3 linked regions of the Lonchura striata genome follow. The protein of the gene in region 1 purifies or fractionates together with the protein of each later gene. This does not show direct contact. Links are inferred from orthologs where the notes say so. Each region holds a gene or a part of one and is shown in the gene's direction. Other genes may lie near its edges.

The links.
Region 2: the proteins of MTMR2 (region 1) and SBF1 purify together in Homo sapiens (affinity purification with mass spectrometry; 6 studies listed by BioGRID and IntAct, with this or other methods). This does not show direct contact. The link is inferred for Lonchura striata from reciprocal best matches to the Homo sapiens genes MTMR2 and SBF1.
Region 3: the proteins of MTMR2 (region 1) and SBF2 purify together in Homo sapiens (affinity purification with mass spectrometry; 3 studies listed by BioGRID and IntAct, with this or other methods). This does not show direct contact. The link is inferred for Lonchura striata from reciprocal best matches to the Homo sapiens genes MTMR2 and SBF2.

Annotation. Positions count from the first base shown.
Region 1 is NC_134604.1:39,953,496-39,957,239, reverse strand, and holds the start of MTMR2 (phosphatidylinositol-3,5-bisphosphate 3-phosphatase MTMR2), read left to right. Parts: upstream 1-893; 5' UTR 894-938; coding exon 939-1,018; intron 1,019-3,744. UniProt on the Homo sapiens protein: Lipid phosphatase that specifically dephosphorylates the D-3 position of phosphatidylinositol 3-phosphate and phosphatidylinositol 3,5-bisphosphate, generating phosphatidylinositol and phosphatidylinositol 5-phosphate.
Region 2 is NC_134607.1:72,716,653-72,720,396, forward strand, and holds the start of SBF1 (myotubularin-related protein 5), read left to right. Parts: upstream 1-1,074; 5' UTR 1,075-1,152; coding exon 1,153-1,207; intron 1,208-3,744. UniProt on the Homo sapiens protein: Acts as an adapter for the phosphatase MTMR2 to regulate MTMR2 catalytic activity and subcellular location. Promotes the exchange of GDP to GTP, converting inactive GDP-bound Rab proteins into their active GTP-bound form.
Region 3 is NC_134608.1:51,964,419-51,968,162, reverse strand, and holds the start of SBF2 (myotubularin-related protein 13), read left to right. Parts: upstream 1-1,078; 5' UTR 1,079-1,227; coding exon 1,228-1,282; intron 1,283-3,744. UniProt on the Homo sapiens protein: Guanine nucleotide exchange factor (GEF) which activates RAB21 and possibly RAB28. Promotes the exchange of GDP to GTP, converting inactive GDP-bound Rab proteins into their active GTP-bound form.

The DNA of each region.
Region 1 (3,744 bases):
AACACATGAAGAGAGATGATGTTTCAGTAACCATGCTACAGCCACAAAGTATACAAATGTTTAGAAGACACAGAGTTTATCCTATTTTGAGGTATTTTTTAAACAGGAAGGTCCGTCTGGATGGATTCTCCTGACATAAGATGCTCTTTACCAACAAGCAGGCCATTCTGGAAACCCACCAGCCTCCTAATACATCCCCAGCGGTTCATTATTTTTGCCTCATGAGATTCTTGCCAAAACAGCTAAACATTTGAAAGACATCTGCACCCTTGATATGGGAGGCTTAACATGCAGTCCCTCAGTCTTTGTAAGCAATGCCAAGAGCGGGAGCTCTTCGATTGCTTCAAGGAACTGGGCGCAGCATGGCTCTTCCTGCAGAGCACTCGATAGGGAACTGTGCCTGCGAAGTCCTCCGGACACGCATGGCCATGGACGCTTTCCATCCGAGCTTTCCGCCGGCTAGCGCCACAGAGGATCCGCGCCCGGCAGCCGCGCTGGTGAGGCTGTGACCCGCCACCTCCCGCAGCGCCCTCCACCCAGCCGAGGGATAGCCTCGGTGAGGATTCCCGAGCAGACAGGGGCAATTGCAAACGTGAGGAGCACAACTGCTCCAACTGTGGGTACACAGCCCAGCCGGAAAGCCTAACGCAGCTGAAGGATGCTTGAGAGAGGCCACTTCTTTGCTCTCAGGAACGACCACCGTGCTCCGGGGATGGAACCCGGGAGCTGCCCCCTTCCCTCGGGAGGACAGAAAGAGGGATCGCGGCGCACTCCGCGCCCTCGCTGCCAGGCTCGGCGGCTCGGCGGCGCGGCCCCCGGCCCCGCCCCGGCCCGCCCCCCGCGCGGCACGCCGGGCCAGCATGGCCGCCTCCCGGCCCGCCGGGCGCCGGCCGCGGCGCTGAGGGGCGCGGGGCAGCGCCCGCCGCGGGCCGCCCGCCATGGAGGGGAGCTCCAGCTGCGAGAGCCTGGGCGCCGGGCGGGCGGCGGCGCGGCCGCCCAGCGGCGATTCCCTGTCCAGGTACCGCCCGCCGCCGAGCCGGGGACCACCGCGGGGCGTGGGGGCAGAGGGAGAGCGGGGAGGGGCCGCCGGGAAAAGGAACCGACGGGATGGAGCTGGTGCGGCTTGCTCCCTCCGTGGGCAGCAGGCTCCTGCGTTTACCCGGGATCGGGTCTCTCCTGCTGGGGTGTACCTGCGCTGGGGGTGGCCGTGGGGTGACGGAGCAGGAAGGCAGGCGTGGGCTCCGCTTGGCTGCGGCACAGCCTCTCTCTTCCAGGGCTTTAAGCAGAGCAGGAGATGCTGCCTCCACCCGGCTCTCGGCAAATCCCTGCCTAGGCAGAGCAGTGCCCCTGCCCTTGGTGCCTGGGTCTGGGAGAAGGGCAGCACAGGTGAGCGGTGCTGGAAGGGCGGCGCGGCACCTGCATGGGAGCTGCCTTTCAGCACGCTGCCGGGCCCGCGCCAGGCCTTGCCCTCTTCAGGAGCAAATTTCCTGTGGCATGTTCAGCCTCTGGTTTTGCCGTCATGGTTTTTTCTGAGAGCCTGACTTTGCGGTCTGAATGGCTTGTAATGCCATGTGGGTAATATTCAAGGTCCTTAAATCATAGAAGCCAAAAGGAGACTTTTGTGTTCTTCCCACCGTCCCTGAGCTACCAGTGAAATTTGAATTTAGTGACTGAAAGCACATCCTGCTTGGGCCTTGTGTTTGACGGAGAAGGTTGCAGTAGGGTAGCAAGGGCAGGTACTGAGAGACTGATAGGGCTGGTGGTGTGGGAAGCCGTGGTGTTGTGGTCGACCCCGGGAGCAGGATATCCTGATGCCTGCTGAAGGTCGTTCAGTCCCATTCTGGCTGCTCTTGCTCTTGCCCAATTCGTAGGATCACTGGATAACTCAGGCTGAAGAAATCTCAGCATCCCCGAGTCCAGTTCTGGCTCATACCAGAGACAGCTTTAAGATCAGATGGGGCTACTTCTGGTTTTTACCCAGTTTGGTCTTGAAAACCTACAAAGATGAAGTGCACACAGACTCTCGGGACAGCCCATCAGCATCTCCTGTGTATCTTCCACGAGCACTGGGGCTGCATTTTTGTTCCCCCTAAAGCTGTCTCTCCACACAGGCAGGATGCTCCAGCCCCACTATCCCAGTGGTGCTTCCCTGTACTCCCCCTAGTTCCCTAGCAGCTTCCCTGGACTGTGGGGCTAGTACCTGGATGAAGTATTCCAGAAATGCTCTGCTGAAAGCTGAGTAGAGAGGAATCCTTCCCTGGATCTCCTGGCTCTGCCTCTGTTCTTAGAGCCCAAGATGCTGGTGGCCACTTTGTTGCCAGCATCTCAAAACTCCCATCCTTGGCTATTACCCAACTGCTCCTCAGACAGGCATCATCCTGTTTGCACTCAGGTTTCTTCATTCTTGAGTCCTTTGTGACTCCTGACCCTCATTTCACCCTTCATCAAATTCTACTCGCTGCTCTCTGTACTGGTTTCCTTGTGCAGTTCTACTAGTGCCATGCCAGAACCTGCAGGCTTCTTTCCCCCTTACCTAACTGACCCAGTATGTTCTTCTTTTTATCTTTACATCAGCTCAGGCAACTTGGACCCATCTGGAGGTCATTCACTGTAAGAGGCCTATGGACACTAAAGAGAGCTTAACTCAGAAGAGCCAGTGGCTACAAGGAAGCTCCTGTTGAGCCTCTCGGCAGCGTGCCCTGCACAGATGGAACCGTGGGGAAATTGAGATGATAAATCTGTTGCTGTTGAGCATGCACAAGGCTGTGTCCTCCAAGCCCTGGAAAGGCCCACACTATTAACAGATTCCTTGGGATGTAAAAAAAGCTTATTCAAAAGCTTTCAGCATCTTGAGTCTCTGCTTGAACATCTAGAGACCATAGAAGAAAGCTAGCCAGTTGGGAAGGTTTAATGTACTCCAAACAAAGTATAGATACTTGAAATAGATTAATGTTTTAAATCTGTAATTATTAATAAAAATACCCCCATCTTGAGTTGGTGTTGGCTGTGGAACGTTTTAGTTGAAATGGCTCAAGGTTAGCACAGAATTACAAGAATATAAAGCCAGAGTCTTGTAATGAGAGATGCCTGGTGACCTTCAGAATGTTTATTATCAGCATCCCTTGCCAATCCAGTGATGCATATGCACAAATAAATAATTTTCTATGAATTGGACAGTAGATTGATTATCATCAGGTTTTTTTTTTTTTCATTAAAGCTGTATTGCAGTTTGATTTTATACATCAGAATAATTCTCTGAAGCTAAATGGACTATTTGTATGCATTGAAATATACTAATTTTAATCTCTGTGATTGTGATCTAACAGCAAGACCAGCTTCAAATTGTAACCTGTGACACATTTTCGCCAAATGATTTTGTTTGAAAAGAAGAAGTTAGCTTTGGGGATGATGTGAGGGACACGATGAATCATGAGGATGCTGTCATCAGTTTTGATAATTCATTTTATTTAAAAGGAACAAAAAAGAAAAAATGACTCAAAGGTCACTCATCACCATTACCTAGCCATATGAAGCCTTACTGAGTTGTAATTACTGAATTGTTTTATGCAAAATTTAGAAGACTTGGAAAGGTGCTGATATGAAATACATACAGCAGTGCATTCTTTAGATCGTCTTAGCTCCTGATCGGAAGTATTATTATTTCTAGAGGTACTTAAGATCTAGCTCCTCAAGGAGACATGCTTGATAGAGTTTACTTACACATAAGGCTGCTTACATTTGAAT
Region 2 (3,744 bases), on another chromosome or scaffold:
CTGTGTGTGGTCACACCTGTATGGGGTCACATCTGTGTGTGGGGTCACATCTCAGTGTGTGGGGACACTTGTGTGTATGGTCACACCTGTATGGGGTCACATCTGTGTGTGGGGTTACACCTGTGTGGGGTCACATCTGTGTGTGGGGTCACATCTGTGTGGGGACACACCTCAGTGTGTGGGGACATATCTGTGTGTGGTCACACCTGTATGGGGTCACATCTGTGTGTGGGGTCACATCTCAGTGTGTGGGGACACTTGTGTGTATGGTCACACCTGTATGGGGTCACATCTGTGTGTGGGGTCACATCTGTGTGGGGTCACATCTGTGTGTGGGGTCACATCTCAGTGTGTGGGGACACTTGTGTGTATGGTCACACCTGTATGGGGTCACATCTGTGTGTGGGGTCACACCTGTATGGGGACACACCTGTGTGTAGGACACACCTGAGGGGGGTCACACCTGCGGGGGTCCTTTCCAGGGGGACTGTGTGGAATGAGGGTCACGGGAAACCTGTGGGCACTCTGCGGGCCGTGCACACCTGGGGGGGGTCTGTGCTCACGGGGGGTGTCCCCCCGCATCCGGAGGGTCCCCACACGCGTGTGCGTGAACACCTGAGGGGTCCCTGCACACCGGGGATGTCCCCGCACCCCGGGATGTCCCGATGTCCCCACACCGCCGGGATGTCCCCGCACCCCAGGATGTCCCCACACCTCCGGGGTGTCCCACACCCTGAGGATATCCCCACACACCCCCGGGAAGTCCCCGTGTCCCCCGGGATGTCCCCGTGTCCCCCCATTCCCGGACCCTCCGTTCCCCCCCTCCGGGGGACGTCTCGGCCCCGCCCCCTCCGCACCAGGCCCCGCCCCTCACCACAGGGCACCGCCCCCTTCGCGCCCGGCCCCGCCCTTCCCGTCTCGGCCAATGGGAAGGCGCGGCCCCGCCCGGCCGCAGCCAATGGGAGGCGCGGCCCCGCCCCCCCGGCGCGCGGCGCTGGCGCAGGCGCGGTGCGCGCGGGGCCAAGATGGCGGCGGCGGCGGGCGGTGGGCGCGGGCGGGCGGCGGCGGCGGCCTGAGGGGCCCTGAGGAGCCGAGCGCGGCCTCGCGGGGCTCCCGGGGCTCCCGGGGCCGGCCCGGGCCGCCCCCGCCGCCATGGCCCGCCTGGCTGACTACTTCGTGCTCGTGGGATACGACCCCGGCAAGCGCGGTGAGCGGCGGAGGGACGCGGGGGGGCCGGGCCCGCGCGGGCCGCTCCGGCCGGGGGCGCGGGGCCGGGGCTGTGGGGTGGGCGCGGGGCCGGGGGCGCGGGGCGGGCCCTGGCGGCGGTGCAGGGTGGTCCCGGAGCGGGGCCGAGGCTGCGGGGCCGTCGCCGGTGCCGGGCCGGGCAGCAGCGGGCAGTTCTCATCCCCCCGTGAAATCCCTTCCGAGCAGCCCCCGGGCGGTCCCGGCAGCCGGGGCCGGCCCTGCGCGGCTCACGCTGCACGGTTTGGGTGTTTTCGGTGTGTCGCCGCTCCGGGAACATGGGCTGGGCCGGGGGGCACCGCTGTGCTCCGACCGTGGCCCCCGGCCTGCTCCCGCTGCGCGTCCTCAGCTGCTGGCGTGGGATGTGGTGCTTCCAGGGGGCACCCACCGGCCCTGGGACGGGGTCTGTACCCCCGGCCCCCGGGACGGGGTCTGTACCCCCGGCCCCCGGGACGGGGTTTGTACCCCCAGCCCCCGGGACGGGGTCTGTACCCCCAGCCCCCGAGACGGGGTCTGTACCCCCGGCCCCCGGGACGGGGTTTGTACCCCCAGCCCCCGGGACGGGGTTTGTACCCCCGGCCCCCGGGACGGGGTTTGTACCCCCAGCCCCGTTCCCGGGCACCCCCAGCCCCGTTCTAGAGCAGCCCCTGGTGCCCTCCCTGCTCCCTCGGACGCTGCTGAGCCCCGGATCTGGCAGACAGCTCGCTCCCCTGGCCTCTCCCGCATCCCTGCTCGCCGTCAGGTGATGCTGTCGGATGTTTTGGTGGGGGATGTTCCGTGGTGGGGATTTAAGGTCTCTTCCCGTCGTGTTTCCTTCTGCCTCCCGCCCCCAGAGCTGTTGGGGAAAAGGAGCTTTGGCAGCGTCGCAGAGGAGGCGAAATGCCCTAAAATCAGGAAATCGGGGCTGCAGGGCCCCCCTGAGCGTCTCTGCCCTCTTGGCATGTCCCCAGGCTGTGCTGAGCTCGTTCCGAGCCTGTGCTGGCAGCTGGGGAAGGGGATTGCTGGTTTTGCTGCGGGTTTGGTCATCGGGGATGCTGCTGGGGCTCGGTTCGGGGCGGATCCCCGCCTGGAGCAGCTGGAGGAGGGCAGGAGGAGCGAGCTGGGTGTCGGGCATGCTGGAGAGCAGAGCTCTGCATCAGAGTTTGGTGTTTCCTGAGGGCTTTGTGGTCGTGTGCTGTCGGTTTGGTGTTTCATTGCTGTTCTTATTGCTGTTTCTGCAGGCGTGTTCCCCCGGTGTCCCCTTGGGCAGGAGCTGCTGTCCCACAGCTCACACCATGCTGGGGTGGGAGATGCAGGGGGGATTCCGGGATTCCATCTGGGAGCAGGCTCCACATCCTCTCAGGAGCTGTGCTGGGGGGGTGGTACCCCCTTTGTCCTGCCTCCGGGTGCTTCCTCCTGCATCTTCTTCCTCATCTCCTCCTGAGGATGCTGCAGCTGCGGCCTGCACCTTCAAACTGCTGCTGTGAGCGGGTTGGTGACGGGTGGGGATCAGGGACCTGGCATTCCCTGGGCCTGGTGTTCCTTGCTGTGACTTTCCCAGGGAACAGAAACGTCCCACGTGTGCCTGGGGTCATTTGGGATTTGTTTTGGGGAGAGGGATGATGCTGTGAGGTGGTGTGATTGGCTGTATTGGGACAGCCAAAAAGAGGAACAGGTTTAGGTGGGAGATTGGGAATGAGGAATTCCTGGCTGGGCTGGAATTGCCAGAGCAGCTGGGGCTGCCCCTGGATCCCTGGCAGTGCCCAAGGCCAGGCTGGACACTGGGGCTGGAGCAGCCTGGGACAGTGGGAGGTGTCCCTGCCATGGATCAGGATGAACTTTCTGGTCCCTTCCCACCCAAATCACGTCGTGATTCTGTGCCACTGGGAAGGGAAGAGCTCACATTTAACAAGTTATGTTCCTCTGGGGTAAATATTCACTTTATTTTGGGTTTGACTCACCTCTGCAGGGAGGGGATGGCTCCAGGATATTGTGGGGAGGTGGAACCAGGATGCTGTAGAGGGGAAAGATCCAGGATGCCCTGGGAAGGGGCAGCTCCAGGATCCCCTGCATGGGATGGATCCAGGATGCCCTGGGAAGGGACAGCTCCAGGACACCAGCCTGACCCCCCTGGCTGCTGGGATGGCCCAGTCAGATGTGACCTGTCCAGGTTGAGGCACCCAGGAGTTGTGGCCTCTCTGTGCCAGCCCGAGCAAACCCCTTCCCGTGCTGCTCTGGAGGTGTCCGAGCACTGTCCTGCGCCCTGTCCCCAGGGATGTGCCAGCCTGTCCCCAGGGATGTGCCAGCCTGTCCCCAGGGATGGACCGACACCGGTTCTGTGGTTTTTGGGATCAGCCTGGCAGCATTCCCGGCTCCCAGCTCTGTTTTCCCAGCCCCCTCCCTGCTTAGATAATGCTGGAGGAAGGGCAGCGGTGCTCATCTGCCAGTGACTAATTGCTGTACAGGTTGGGTTGCTCCGGCAGAGCCGTGGGCTGTGCCAGGCTGGGCTGTGCCAGGCTGGCA
Region 3 (3,744 bases), on another chromosome or scaffold:
GCATCACCATGTCCCAGCTACGAGGTGTAAGAACGGCGTGTTTGAAGCAGAAATGTCTCTGAGACCACTAAGGACTGTTTGCTGGGTCAGGGTGGATCGTCAGGAGCCAGTTTGCTGCACTTGCACACTCAGCCCAGCATCCACGACTGCTCCTCGCTGGAGCGCAACCCATGTCCTCTGCGCTGGCTCTTCTGTGCTGTCATACGGGACATACATAGACGCTTATCAGAGTGGTTTCTGCAGGCTCCGCCAGCGACCCAAGCGCTGCACTGTCCGCGCGTGTAACCTCAGCATCTCCGCGACTGCTGGCAAAGTCCACTGTGCTTTCGAGGGCCACGGTCCTAAAGGCGCCCGCCTCATCTGCACGTTACAAACAGCACCGCGGCAGCTCCCGGCGCGGCCTCGCTGAGCGCCCCGGCGGCCGCCGCCCGTGCCCGGGCCAGCACGTCCGAGGTCCCGCGGGTCACGCCGAGGCGCCGCTGGGCAGCGCCCGCGGGGAGCAGCGGGGCCGGGCCGGGGACCCGTGCCGACCCTCGGCACCGCCACGGAGCTGAGCGGGGCCGCGGCACGGCTGCCCCCGCACACCCCGGACAAAGCGTGACCGGGACACTTCTGGAAGCGCAATCCCCGATTCCCCAGGCCGGGCTGGCGGGGCCGCCGTTCTCTCGCCGCCGGCTTCCATTTCCGCGGAGGCTCGGCGAGGGCGATGCCCGGCGCCGGCTGCTCCCCGCGGGAGCGGCGAGCGCAGCGCCGCTCAAACGCTTGCGTCTCCCCGGGCACGCGGAGCGCTCCGACCCGCCGCCAGCGTCTGTCGTAAGGGGAACGAGCCCCGCGCCCGCTGCCCCCGGGCGGCCGCCGCGCAGGGGGAGGTTGCCGGGAGACAAAGCCCCGCGCGGGCGGGGCGCGGACCTCCCCCGCCGGGCCCTCCCCGCCCGCGGGGGCTGCGCAGGGAGGCCGCGGCGGCGGCGCGGCGTCCCGGCACGGCGGTCGGGCCGGGGCAGCGGCACTGCGGGACGGCCGGGCCGGGCCGCCCCAGCCCCCGCCCAGCCCCGGGGTCACGGCGAGCGGTCCGGGCGGCGCGCAGGCGCACGGCGTGCCCGCGCCTCCAACATGGCTGAGGTGGTGCCGCTCCTCCTGCGGCGGGCGCGGAGCGGAGGATGCTGAGCCTGCCCCGAGCCGCCGCCGCAGCCGCTGGGGTGGTGAGGCCGAGCCGCGCCCCGCGCAGCCATGGCCAGGCTGGCCGACTACTTCATCGTGGTGGGCTATGACCACGAGAAGACAGGTAGGTGTGGCTGCGCGCAGCGCTGCCCCGCCGCGCCTGGCCGCTCCCCGCGCTCCTGCCCGGCCCCGGCCCCCGCCCGCCTCCGGCCGGGCCGCGGGAGGAGGAGACTGCGGCGCGCACGGGGCGCGCGTCCGGCCGGGGGAGGAGGGGGCGAGCCAAGGGTTAATCCCCCTTGCCCGACGGGGAAGCGGCGGGGCTCCGGCACCGACCGGCCGGGGCAGCCCCGCCCGCCGGGAGCGGCTGCGGCTCCTTCCCGGGAGCGCGGGCAGGTTCAAACGGGGCCCGCGGCCGTGCCGGGCCCGGCGGCCGGAGCCGCGGGGCAGCGCCGGGGCTGCCGCTCCCCACCTGCGTCCCGCCGGCCGCGGCGCGACAGCCGCGCCCCCCGGCAGAACAAAGGCTGCGCTCGGCGAGCGGCGGCTTTGCCCCGTCTGGCTGCGCACCCATCGCCTGTTGAGCGGGGCCGCGGCCCCCGGGGAGCGCCGCACGCCGAATGGGGACGGAATGGGTGCTCTTCCTAAAGCCTCGGGATGCGCCCTGCCTGCTGGGGGGAAAGGGAAGTGGTGTTATCTGCTGGCGTTTTGTGGGCAGAGAGAGAGTGGTTTGTGTTACGTAACTCTCCGTTATGGTACCAGCTTTGTTGCTGCAGAGACCTCAAATGAGTGTTTAAACTGACTGGAAAACGAAGTGATCGTCAACTGGATTGTGTTTGTGCTGCGTATTTCAGAGCGATCCTTTGAATGTATGTTGTTAATAAACAATATTTTAAACAGTCGAATGTTCCCTAATTTATTTGACCATGCATAAACCAAACAACACTCAAGTTTGTTACTCAGAGTAATTCTTTGAAGTAGCAATTGCGTGTCATCTATATCTGTTCATTTGAAAAGTGCAGCTAATAAACTCAGATCATGTTTTTTTTTTTTTAAGAAATACAATTTTTAGAGACATCATTTTATTTGTGGGTTTAAAGATGCAATATCTTACAAAGTTCTGCTAAGATGTCTTGGATTTTACTATTCTGCAATTATCATTCTATTAATTACATCCTGGCTTCCTCTCCCACTCCATTTGATAATAGGTTTGTCCTAATTGTACTGTCAAAATCAAGCCGTGTGAAATAGGAAGTATTTTATTTTAAAAATAAAGACCTTTTGTCTCTCTCCTGTTTGGAACATTTCCCCTGACAAAGTAAAGAGAACCCAAATCAAAACAAGCAACCAGAAAACCCAGATGTGCTTTTAAGAAGACAAAGCAAGTAGGATGCTTAGGGTATGATCAATCTGACAGAGTATGTGAAGTGAAATTACAGATTGCATTGGAAAGCTTTATGTCTGTAAAATGTCTTCATCTGTGGCATTTAAATATGTGTTTAACTTCCTATACATAAATTGTCTCATGAAGGTTGGTAGAATTGCTTGCATGGGTGAAATTGAGCAGATTCAGAAATAAATTCTGAACCTTAATTTAAAAAGGTCATGCCCAGAAAGTAATTGTTTAGACTCTATTATTTAAATTACTTGTTGCTACTTTAATGCTTCGTAAGAAAAATGCTTGAAGGAACAACATTCTATTGAAGACTAGGCATGCATTGTTTTCCAAATTCCTTTACCCCCACATGCAATCCCATCATACATGGAGTACTGACCTTTATTTTTCTTAAAAAACTAGTTTTTTTGATGCACTTATTATGCTTCCTGTTATATGAAAAGCAGGGACAAACATTTCTAGGATTATAGACTAGCTACCCTTGAAACTTTTATATTTTTAAGTATGTTCCTTTTTTTTCTAATTTTTTTTCATCTGCATCTACCTTCTGGCTTGGTTTTAATGTGCTTGATTTGAATGCTGAGTGTAATTACATTTTGCAGTGTTTTCCTTTTCCTTTTTTTCCCAGGCATAATCTGTGGAATAGCTTTGTGTAAACAAGCAAACAAAAATGTTGTACCCTTCCCCCCAACCTGTGTGTCAGCAGCATTTGGGTGATAAACATTTGTGGTTTATAGGGAAGGGTGTTTATAGTAGTGACTGCTCTCCCAGGAAAGCCCCACTGTGTCTTCTGGCTCTCCTCTCACTGCTTTTATGGATTGATTTACATGTGCCAATATCTTACCCCTGAAAATGTGGTAAAGGTGCTGATTTTCTGGCTTTACTCAAAAAACATTTGCTGTAAATATCTAAAATGCAGTGTTAGTGCAGTTTAGGAGCAGATTGGTCGATTTTTCTTGTTTTGGAACAACTTTGTTACTGATGGTACAAGTTTTTATCCAGCGTAGTCTTCGGGGGAAGTGAAGAGTTTTACTGTCCTTGAATAAACCAGAGAGTGTCCTTTGGGAATCAAGCTTTTGAAAGTCCATTCCTATTCTGGTCTAGGCCTGTGTAAATTGATGTTACAGCAGCCCTAGAGCTGCCATTCCTATTGTGTTAAGTCTTCTTTTGGATCCAGCTCACTTTAGGATACTGAC